Linked DNA regions of Drosophila melanogaster. The protein of the gene in region 3 interacts with the protein of the main gene of each other region in a pairwise test. Each region holds a gene or a part of one and is shown on either strand. Other genes may lie near its edges.

The links. The genes of interacting proteins can lie anywhere in the genome.
Region 1: the proteins of Arl6IP1 (region 3) and CG6576 interact in a two-hybrid assay, tested with the Drosophila melanogaster proteins (one large-scale study listed by BioGRID).
Region 2: the proteins of Arl6IP1 (region 3) and moon interact in a two-hybrid assay, tested with the Drosophila melanogaster proteins (one large-scale study listed by BioGRID).

What each region holds. Positions count from the first base shown.
Region 1 is NT_037436.4:8,753,827-8,757,965, reverse strand, and holds CG6576 (uncharacterized protein), read right to left. Parts: upstream 1,978-4,139; 5' UTR 1,784-1,977; coding exon 980-1,783; 3' UTR 799-979; downstream 1-798. Other genes in the region: Fhos (formin homology 2 domain containing), read right to left, coding at 3,471-3,491.
Region 2 is NC_004354.4:12,071,210-12,075,003, reverse strand, and holds moon (moonshiner), read left to right. Parts: upstream 1-2,185; 5' UTR 2,186-2,273; coding exon 2,274-2,792; 3' UTR 2,793-2,996; downstream 2,997-3,794.
Region 3 is NT_033777.3:16,641,853-16,646,221, reverse strand, and holds Arl6IP1 (ADP-ribosylation factor-like 6 interacting protein 1), read right to left. Parts: upstream 2,618-4,369; 5' UTR 2,338-2,617; coding exon 2,314-2,337; intron 2,205-2,313; coding exon 1,839-2,204; intron 1,675-1,838; coding exon 1,471-1,674; 3' UTR 1,051-1,470; downstream 1-1,050. Other genes in the region: CG10324 (uncharacterized protein), read left to right, coding at 1-202, 276-1,048; nonA-l (nonA-like), read right to left, coding at 4,002-4,369.

The sequences.
Region 1 (4,139 bases), on a different chromosome or scaffold from region 3:
GCGAGCGAGAGGGAGTGAGGAAGAAAGAAAGACAGACAGTCTCGGCTAATTGTTTTCGCTCAGTGAAATGGAATGCCAAACACACAAATAGCCAACAATGTGCAAAACAAGCAAACGGAGACACTCAGCCGGAGGAGAAAAAGAGTGGAGGATCGTGATGGTGTGGATGTGGATGGGCCTATGGATCTTCTCTGGAATGACTTCGCCATGTGTACTTTGTTCACCGCCGATTCCAGCGGAGTGCTGCACTTCTGACAGCATTATTATGCGGTCTCAATTAGGAGATTGCAGAATCTCGGAGTCTGCAGATCAGGAGCAGGATGCGCTATAATGCGCCTGTCTGTCAGTAGCCACAGCCCATTAAGAACGACCAGGAAAGCCATCCACTCACAAAGTATTTAGACTGTGACCCCAGATGATTCGAAGTGGCGACTGAATATTCGCTTGCCAGACAAATGATTTATTTTTAAATACGTTTTCTATTGTAGTTTGCTCTGACGAAAGTGTCGAAAATGCGTTTCGGGAAACTCAACTATGTGGAGATCGGCGCTTAAAAGGATAATGAAATATTCAACCCCAGAAAGTCGTTCAAACATAAATTTCCAAACAAATTAAATTAGTTAATCTGAAAATTATAGTGATTATAACCAATTTATGAGTTATAATCAATTCCGAGCTTATTCATTTTCGATATTTTCCGAATGTTTATTAATTTTTTTCGATATTTACATATATGTACTAAATCGAACCTTATTTTAAATAACTAAATCGCACTTTTTTTCGTAACAAATAATTATTCCCGTTTTTACTCCTCAGCCAATTCTATATTTAAAGCCAAACAAGTTCTTATACAGAAGGGCTACCAATTCACGAAGATCAACAATTTTACCAAGTATTCAAAGATCTAACCAACTGCCAAATTGCTATTCTATTTGGGACTAGTCTTTCTTTTTTATCCTTGGCGCCGATTCCAAATGTGTTATCTATACTGATTATCATCTCGATCCGTTTCCGGATCTTCAGTCAAATCAGTAGTTGGCGGTGGATCCGTTTCCGTATCTGGATCGGATTTCGTAAACTCATCCGGTTCAAGACTGCCCACAAGTCCCAGATCTTGGGTCTCTGGCTCAAATGGATCCCAACACGGAGCCTTCGGTGGTTCATTGATAATCGAATCACGCATGGCACGCATTCCCATCTCAAGGGCGCAGTCCATGGAATTTCTGTCAGGTGGTTCGCGGGTTAGAGGCCCATTGAAATGCACATAAATGTCTCCCTGGGCAGCCAAATCTAGTCCGTAGGTGGTTAGATCCTCACCAAAGACCAGCTGCGTGGCGCCCGGATCCGTTTGCGTAGTCCTCATGGCGGCCAGCAGCCCAATGATCCCAAATTGATCTGACAGCATCGTGGCCGGAATATTAGTGAATTTCCCATCGTCTGTACTACGTATTCCCGCGGCATTTGTGTTCGTTGAGGAGGAGGTAGATGCCACCTCGGGCTCCTGCAACACTGATTCATAAGAGGGCTGACCAAAAAGATCAGCAAACGTGGGCATCGACGGCTGGCGATCGTAGAGTTCCGGGAAGAGTTTGTAATCCGATTCGATTTCAGATTCTACGCTCGAAGTGCTGACGACTTCCGGTGGCTCTTCGCTGGGCGGATCCGGCAAGGGCGGTGGACGTTGTGGCTCTACCTTTTCTGCACTGGGTGCAGTCTCCTGTTTCTTCTTTCTCAGCGCTATCGAGGGATTCACCTTACATCGTGGACGTCGACGCCGTGTCATTTTTTATCTTTTTATCAAAAAATGTCCTTGACTTGTGTCTGTGTTCGAGTGTTGTGGGGGGCTTGGGTGGCAGTTGGGTGGACGGGTGAGTGTGCGTGGATAATCTCGGACTCAGATAGCTTGATTCATAAATCCTTATCTCGAAGCCTATTTGAGAAGCGCCTATCACCGCCTTCCTTTGTGCTACACTACAACAAATTTTGATCTGTTTTGATGAATAATTCAAATGAAAACTGATTGTGATCGCATTGTGTGTGACGAGTAGAGATATTTCTAATGAAATCAATAATCGAAACAATGTTTAATCATTACCGCTTTCGCTAATACATTATGAATATAAATTTAGTTATATGATAATATATACTTATTTTTTTTGAATATGAAGTTAAAAGCTTTAGTTATATTTGCAACTTTATTGTTTCTCCATTACCGTTCCCCTACTTTCTCCCCTCACAAACAAATTGCATGAGTATTCACACTTTGTTAATTAATTAGGTGGTGCGTGCTCTCACCGGAGAACTTTCAACTTTATGCTTGTCATAAATATTTACAACTTCCTTCTGGCCATAAAAATCCTACACAAAGTACCAACTCCAATGAGGAAAAAAGAGACTGCGTCAACGTGAACGAAACAGAAATCATTTTGCTTTACTCCCAACATTTTTAGAAACATTCTATATATAATTGGAGAAATGACTCGGGAGAAGATGAAGTGGTAGATGTGCGTGGGATGGGGTGGAAACTTGTTGTTTGCCGCCCATAAATTGATCAGTTTATTAGATTCTAAGACCCGAAAAATATTTAATTGATTTATGCTCAATGAGTCAAAAGTCAGGCTAAAGTCATAAACTGGATGCCTGGGAACAAAAGGATATAATGAGTTGAACATAAAGGGGATTAGTAGAAAGCGATTTGGAAGTTTGGGAATGACAACCGAAATTAAGTGTATTTATATTATAGGATAGATATAGAAATAATGCACTTTTTATATAAAAGTTCACAAGTATCACATGATGTCGAACGGGTTAATAATATAAATAAATATGATGATAAGTTCAATAAATAACACAAAATGTTTACTTGGGAACTGTCAGTCATTGGTCAGTATCAATAATGAATCTGCCATAAAGTATGTCAAATAACTCAAAATTAATTCCTTTGACAACTGTGCATATACGCAAATACTAACATAAATCAAGTTAAATAGGTTTAAAATTCGGAACTTAACCTGCTTTGCCAAAGTAAAAGCCATTTATTCATGCATTGGTTTGCTATTCAAACACAACAATTCGTTCATTCAGTAGCCACACCTCGGCCATAATTTGTGCTATTTGTGTGGATAGGAAATTAGAACAATCAACTAGACACAAATCCCAACCAAAAAACCAGACAATGAGCAAATTTGTATCTAAATTGTTTATCAATGGATCTGGAGCCCACACCACATCGAGAGCGAACATTCAGATACATTTTATCTGCCATATAAAACGTATACGTATGTATCTGCGAAATACTCTTGTGTGTGGGGTAAGGCAACAAATTAGAAATAAACAAAATCCGTGGATGCGAAGAATTGCAAAAAGGCACAGAGCGAAGATACAAAGATCGAGATACACACTATATAGTACGAGTAGGTATTATGCAGATACAGATACGGATAGTTGGCGCTGCATTAACTAGTACTTACATAACTGCGGTAGGACGACATTACGTTGCTCTTGGCAAGCGATCCTCGATCGCAGATCGGATCAAAATTCGGTCACAATGTATGTTTATCGCCCTTTCAAAATTGGTGTATAATTTATTTTGGTATGGCCTGGGTTTGGTAATCCAATCTGGCAAACACTCGCGCGAGATCGAAACGGAGGAACTCGAACCGCTGACGACAATTACGAAAACGTATCTGCCGGATGCCGACTCTCAATTGCAATAGATGCAAAATAAATTAGATGCACTTACTGAAATCGCGCGCGTGCGACAAATTTCTACGACACTCTCTCTGCATTCCCCTATTTTATTCAATTTTATTTTATTGTATTTATTTCTTTTCTGCTAAGTAAACTATTATTTCCTTTGCTTTTATTTGCGCTGGGCGATACTCCGAGATCGGTATCGGGATCGGCCGTGTGTCACTTTACATAATCCACCGGCACGCACCGGGCAGGTTTGGGATATATACTGTCGATGCCTATAGGGCATACGAGCAGATATAGACTATAGCGCCCCGATCTATTTGGGAATGCAGCCGGCGAATGCGACAGAATCGGACGCGAGGCTCGCGCTTTATTTATGCGTTGATATTTTTCTTATTTTTCTTATTTTTTCCTATTTTCCCATTTTCCATCGCCTGCGTTTT
Region 2 (3,794 bases), on a different chromosome or scaffold from region 3:
TATCATTATCATCATTGTTCCTTGTCGCGTCGTTGGGGATCGAAGGTTGTCGTTTGCTATTGGGGGGGTTACACGGGTTATTGAGGGTTACAAGGAGGTTACAAGGTGGTTACAGAGGGAGGAGGTTCATAGTAGGGAGCCAGCCAACGACAGACAGAGTCATTTATAAAATTTCCACCCGAACGTGTTAAATGGCGTCAATATTAAAAGTTCAAATATGACGCTGACGATGACGACGCTTGGGGAAAATGGGCAAGGGAAAATGGTTATGTGCGGGTGCATGGACGGTGACTTTAGGGGTTCGCGGGTCTAGGGCGTGATAAAATCGTAGGTTTGGCCAGGCAGGCAGACTAACATATATAGACGGCAAACGAATCAACAAACGTTGAAGCTATTATCGTTGTCGCAACATCGCACAACTACAGATACAACTGCGGCGTAACATGCATGGGTGTCTCTGGTCTAAGATAAAGGGGGTTCGTAACTGAAGTCTAGAAAGGGATATTTGCACTTTTAGAAAATAATAGCTACAAATCAAAGTCTTGAAAGTTCAAAAGCAGGCAATCATCTTGTTTTAAAGAGTATCCTGGTACCTTTATGTCTTGTCTTAAATGTAGTACTTAAATATACGAGTTTAGATCCCTTCTGCGAATGCCACTGCATACACACACACATATGGCATATGGTCCTTGTTGCTATTGCTCTTGCTGCTGCTCATCATCATCTTTTGGCGTTAGCAAGTGCTTGGCGGCAACTTCTAATGGCGGCATTATGCCCGCCAAACTCCACCCCCCTCCCCAAGCCTTATTCTGCTCATGAGTGTGTGTGTGTGTTTGTGTGTGTGTGTGTGCGCCCTGCGCAAAATGAAAATGAAACTGTTGCAAAATCCCATAAAACGGCCAAAAAGCTTTTGTAAATGACGCCAACAGCTGTCGATGGCAAAGCAGACAACGTCGCCGTCCGCCCAATTTGCCAAAGCACCCACCCACTCACTCATGAAGCCCCAAACACCCCCCCACCCCTTCGGAAACACCCCCTTCGTTGTACCACGATTGACATCTATGTGTGGGTGCACCGCTAAAAAATACTTCTATTTGAAATGATCGCTTTGTCTTAAGGTTTTTAAAACATTATAACATAGCATAGTAATACATAGTAATACTGAACTTGCCACAATAGAAACATTTGTATTCGATTTCAGATTATGTAACGCATATGTGAAATAATTTATTAGACTTAAATTGTTTTCAATACCAAATTGTTTTCACTGCTTAATTGTGTGTTAGAAATGGGGGTTAGATGGCGCTGCTAGTGGTGAGTGGGGCATCGTGAAGGTTTTTGGCGCGTTTTAATAAAGCGACAATGACATTTTATGAATTTTCCACTTTGTTCTCGGTCCACGCCCACAATACGCCAACCCAACACCCCCTAACCCGCCGATGACACCACGATGCCAGCCCCTTTGTGCTGTTTTCATTATTTGTTTGTTTGCCGAGAACCACAGACTGGCGGCCGGTTGGAATCCAGGACTCCAGGACTCCAGGACTGTAGGACTCCAAGACCAGGACTTCCAAAACTCCAAATGAATTGACATTGTCTGTGTATTCGACGGCTGGTTCAGTGTGTGTGTGTGCCGTGGGTTGGAGGGGGCAAGCCCCCGTGTGTGTTAGTGGGTGCTGGTGCCTGGGTGTTGCACAAAGGCGTGTCCCAGTGTGCCTTTTGATATCGGATTTCATTTATAATTAGCTGCAAAGTTAACGGTTGCCAGCCATACCTTGACTTGTGGTTGGTGGTGGCCCCGGTCAAGTAATTTGCTTGTCAGTTGGGTTCCCGGGGTTACTTGGCTCACCAGATGGATGGCAAGGCTGCCATGGGGCTGCACTGCAGGTGGTGGAAGCTGTCCAACGGCCAGGAAGATGTCGTAGTTTAAGTTAAAAGAATCTTTAAGCAAGGCTTTTTTTCCAATATTCTAGCCCCTTTCGATTGCAAGATAACTTAAAATTTAAATTATATTACCATTTATAAATGCACATGAGTAAAATTGTTATTATTATTATTGTTATATATAAATATATATCTATATAAATTTATTTAATAGCTTATAACATCGTTATCAGTGTGAACATTCTATAATCCTCCCATGCATTGCGGTAAGTCGATGATCAATTGTATCGATCGATAGCAAGCTTAATCTATCGGCGTAAGCAGCGTAGCTCTCATAAAACAATAACATTGAGAACCAGTCATTTCAACCACATTGCTTTGGCTTTGCCATGGCCAAGATATTGCCCACCGATGGCATCTGGATACCGGAGTCGTGCAGCTTTCCGGAGGATGTGATGATCGATATGATGGAGGGACTATTCCGCGATGTGCCAAACCTAACGCACAAGGAGTACCTGGCGCTGGCCGACCTGCAATCTAGATGGATGGCGAAGCTGGCCAACCGACAGCCGGAATCGAATCCCCTGCCGCCAAAGCCAAAGAAGCGTAAGAAAATCGCTCCAAAGAAGCAGGACCAGCCTGTCGAGGAGAAGGGCAGCGAAGTCGACATCTACGATGTGGACGACAACGAGATGGTCAACAATCGCATCTACATTCCGCGACTGCGTTCCGCTTGGAGAGCTCGCTATTTCAACATTATGATGCGCGCCTTTGTCATCAAACGGGGACTATTGAATAAGCACATTAACTGGCAGATTCTCGACAAGATCATGGCAGCCCCCGACGCAGAGGGACAAGCCGAGCTTCAGGCGTTTGTTGACAAAGTGGTCGCAGGCCAGGAAATGTAGTCCTTACAGCCTCCTAGGATAAGCACCCAAACACATAGATATGTAAATTCAAAATATCAATTGTTTACTCAAATTAAAAATAACAATTGTATAATCAAATCAACCTTTGTAAAATCATACCAATTGAACATAAGCATAGGTGTGAAGCAAAACCAGAGCCAATAAACCATACGAATGCCATCGTCTTCTGTGGGCCAAATCAACAAACGTTTTCCCAATTTCCCCATGAACGGCTCGGTGCCACACACCGAAACATGGGAGAAGTTACAAAGTAAATTCCACGCCCGGTTGCCAAGTGGTAGTCCAAATTAACAGCTAATTACGTGCGAATGAGAGCTACCCGGTTGGGGGATGTGGTCCAAATGTACTGGCTGCGAGCAAAATGGAAAACGGGGCAGGTCACAACGAACACGTACTAGCAACTAAATGGAGAGAAAGCGAGACAGACACCGAGTCAAACAACATTTGAATACGAAATTGCCCTTGAAAAAAGGGTTGCCAGCAAAAAAAAAAAAAAAAAAAAAACAATCAAAAAAAGTACAAGATATTCCAAAAGTCCCTGCGAGGCGAGAACAAAAGTGACAAATTAGTCAGTGGGTGGGGGTGTCAGTGGGAGGCAGTCGACACTGAAAGCGTTAAAATTGAGATGGGGTGCGCCAAAAATATCCACTCGGAAAACGTTGAACTTACATATATAATGCAAGACAACTTGGTCGTTAGACCGGGTCTTTCTGTATTCTTTCTGGTCATTACAACATAATATTGTGGCGGTTGTCATAAGGAAACTTTCACAAATCTGCACACGTAGCTCGATCTCTTTTTGCATAATTACCAGCCAAGTCAAGAAACAATAGGTAGAGGTATAGTAAGTATACATTATCATTTTTCTTTCAAACTTCAAATTGTATAAAATCTGTTCAACGTTTAAGCAACTACAATACGGCAAGTCAGAAAAGAAAAGTTTTATTTTGCTTAGATATTTCATGTTTTTGATCAATTTTC
Region 3 (4,369 bases):
GTACTGGAGATTAAGAAGCAGGCGTACGTGCGCATTCTGGGCGGAAAGCAGAAGGATCAGTATGGCCAAATCCAAGGTTTTGATGACCATGCAGGGCGAGTAATTGTCAAAATGGCAATTGGAGGGGCCAAAGAGGCGTTCAACGAGTTCCTTTGTCAGCCCGTATCCCGCAAGGAGTACTCTCAGTATGGCAAGTGCATAAGTAAGTGGAGCCTGGAAAATGCAAATCCTTTATATTTGTGACATTTTTATATTTCTTTTACATTTACTTTCAGACACTGCCAAATACGAAGAATTCAAAAAAAATGAAAACGAGCATGGCCAGATTATTGTGAAGCAGGAAAATCCGTCAGGAAGAAGGGACAGAGACCGCAGGGAAGAAATTAGATCAGACCGGGATGAAGCTCAAAATCAAAAGAGTTCGAAGCCAGGGGACCAGAGATCTAGTAAAGAAGACTATCGCATGAAATGCAAGGAAGAAGATAAAAGGTCTTACAAATATGAAGACAAAAAAACGTACAAAGACGAACATCGCAGGACGTACAAAGACGAGCGAAAATCGTACAAGGAAGCCAAATCTAACAAAGAGGAGGTGGATCGAGAAAAGAAGTATGTGCGGAGTGGTAGCTCCTCTGTATCTAAACGCGAGGAACGTGAGCGTCGTCGTTCGCCGAGTCCCAGAGGCAGAAGCCCATCTAAGTCGAAGCGGGAAGACCGTGACCAAAAGCGTTCGCAAAGTCCCCGAAGCACCAGAAGAACAAAGAGTAGTTCAGACGAGGCAGACGATACGGGAGAGTCCACCGAGAGCGACTCCGACTCTGCATATGAACGCAGGAAGCACAAGAAGAAATCATCCAGCCACAAGTCAAGAAAACACTCAAAGAAGTCCAAGAACAAGTCGAGAAAGGCGGACAACGACTCCAGCTTAGAGAGCGATGACAGCCTCGGTGAAAACCATCGTCGTCACCACAGCAAGCACAAAAAGAAGACCAAGAGGAGCAAGCATGTCAGGTCCCGCACGCGATCAAGGTCAAGAGACCGTCAGTGATTGATCTATTTAGTTGAAATCTTTATTTAAATATAGTTCATTAGACGCTTAAGTTCCTTTTTTTATCTTACTTGGGATTATCATAAATTTCAATTAACTCACAAAATAATCACAAAAATGCCTTGTCTTTTGTTGCGCGTTTTTTTCTCTCTCCGTACGCCTCGTTTCGAGAATACTTCTGTCTTACATGTTACAAACTTATAGTAGGAGATGTGATGGGGCCAGAACCACGGATTTGCTAGTTTTCCGAGTTTTTTTTTTCTGTATGCGCTGCTCTTATCTTTTAAGATATTTATAGTTTCAAATTCAATGCGCCTAATGTGTGATTTAGTGATGCGATGTGTGCATAATGGCAAGTAGATGACTTAGGCATGTTTTATATTTTTGGTCAAATGGTGATGAGTTTATCTGGTTGCTTTCCTTTACTGCAGCTTCCTTTTGCCGCACTGGATCTTCTCGTTAATAATCTTCGAGGCCCTTTGGGTGATGGCCTTAAAAATGTCCTTGTTCTGTAGTCCTGGCCACATGAGGATGAGTAGGGTGGCCAAGTACATAAGCAGTAGATTGTTAATGATGGCTCCAATCCAGGCCATAGCCAAAAGACCCAAACTCATGACGATTACAAACTGGAATCAAAACGAATAAATGTGAGATGAAATAATAATAGAACCCGAAGTTTTTATTTACACTTGAGCTTGCAGAAGAAGATCTACTGCACATACTAGGCCCTGAAACTGCTTCTCTGTTTTCATATACATATACACACACGGTCTCTACCGCATCTACTCACCACTGTGGACTTCCGCTCGTTGAAGAGGTACTCGTACCAGACCACCAGGCTGCCCTTGACGGCGCACACCTGGCCGCACACGTCCTCGAACTTGGCCTCCTGGTCGCCATCCCAGTTGACTCCGCCAAAGATCAGGCGCGACACCATGGGGAATGCGTAGTTCAGCAAAATGCTAATGACACCGAGCAGCGACAGCAGGGTAATCAGCGACAAGTCCAGGTACCACAGCACCAGGTACAGGCAGCTGATGACGCCAAACACCACTCCGGCGTAGTACTGCTTCTCCCAGGTTAGCACGCCGTACGCTCCCACGATGGCTGTCCGGAAAGGCTCCAAGTCGTGCTTTAATTTGTTAAGTGCTCGTTTCTGGAAAATGCCGGAAAATGAGGAATCATTATGATATTAACTAATGGGGCTTCAATGGCGACGCCGTTTTCCGGCCGGAAAGCTTTCGGCAGTTCCACCCTTCGCTCACCTGGTCAACCTGCGATGCTGCCATGCTGGCTTTTCTTTGTTTCCTAGCGGTGCGCGTTCAATTCCGAGAAATCTATTTGATGCCCAAAGGTGTTGCTTTCGGTTTGAGCGAAAAATCAATTTTCTTGGGTGTTTTTTAAGTCGCCAAAGTCGCAGTGTGACCGTTGATCGACGTTTTGAAATGACTGATTCAGGGGTTGTTTCACTCAAACAGCGATTGCACTTTCAATCGGAACTTATCGAATTTTTCCCTTTACAACTCTGTTTTAAAAGTTTGTATTAAAAATCTTGTATTGATTTGGCTAAAATCTGATGCTAAATTCTAATGCCACCTGACATTTGGGCTTACATTTTTGTTTAAAATCTTGACAGCATCCTATCATAAAATATTGATTTACTATATCATGATTTTTATAAGCAGAACTAAAAGCCCATAAATGGCTTAATAAAATAAATACATAAATCAAAAATTAAATTGCCGTACTATTCAATTCGAAACTACAAAAATGGAAAGCAAAGCATCATTTTGGCTTTTGCTAGTTAATCAAGCAAATCAACAGCGGCTTACTTAGATAATGAACTCAAAGCCACCACATCTTGTATTATATGCAGATAAAATGTTGTAAATATAGATCTTAAATTCTTATATCAATGGCACGGAATAGCTTTAGTTTATTGCTAAAAATTTACTTCAAAAGAAATTTGTACTTAACTATCATGAACTTTAACGAAGCTACAAAAAAATATATATATATACATATATACGTTTGGACAAAATGAAGAGTTTCCATCTGTTTCCATCTCGAGGAAATTCAAATTGATGGTTATACCACGGGTAATTGAACTGAAATCTTTGATTGCTTCGGTACAATACAATTGTGTAATTGTTGGGTGAATGGGAGGAGGGTTCATACAATAGTTCATTCTGTTGATCAAATAAATTCTTTTGTTTAAACAAGTGATTGCATTTTGACCTAATATATGGACAGCGTCGTGGGACTGAAGATACCGGCGGAAATGTGTCCTTTCGGACAGCCTTGCAACTTATTGCCGGATTTCCCAATAGAGCTGATGGCATTTTCCGACTTTTCCGCTTTAACACATTTATTACCAACATAAATTCCCAGTGAAACCTTAGGTTAGAGCCGTTTTTATTAAAAGTAGACAGAGATGGGATGAGAAATACATTGAAATAAAAGCAAGTCCGATTTCGATTATTTACTCATAAATCAAAGTATAATCTACGATTATAAAAATTAGGCTCTTTATCTATATTCGACTCCAAATAATCAGTAATTTCAGTCGCATTCAATATTTAATTTGAATGATAGACAAAAATTAATCGTGTTAGGAGGTAGTCTCTACATATATCTAATGGATGATGGATGGTTATGTTCAGGTGTTTTTCTTCGAAATACTGCACATCTTGTAAGTTGCCATTCGTGTTTGGATTTTGTCATTTTTGTGTTAATATTTCGTGGTGGATTTGTTGTTGAGACCGTTTTTAACAGTTTTTGGTTAATTATATAAATTCAATTTATATTATAATGAGATGAATGCATCTTCGCTTGCATGATCCCATTTGTTATTTATGTTATTGTTCACGCATAGCCGAGCGAAATGTCCGATATTATGCGTAACTAATGAGATCACTATTGTTTTCGTCGCTATCTATATAGGTTTCAGTGTCTAGAAGCGTCGGTGTCCCCATGAATCAATGTGTCCGTGTTGGTTTCCGTCGCTATTATCTGGACCTCCAGGTCCAGCCATTGTTGAATTGTTGCTGTTGTTCCCAAATACTTCAAAAGGGGAATCAAAGTGTTCGAATCCAGAGTTGCTGCCTCCGAATCCCTCCTGCTGATCGAGGATCATGTTGAGTTTCTTGGCCTGCATTAGCAAATCGTTCTCCTGCTGACGGGCTCGCATATCCTCCTCATGGCGAAGTAATTGGTTTTGATAACGATGCATGTATTCCTCTTCCCGCTTTCGAATCTCCTCGGCTTGTTTCTCACGCATCTCCCACTCCAGTTTCATGCGCTCGTTGTCCAGCTCGCGCT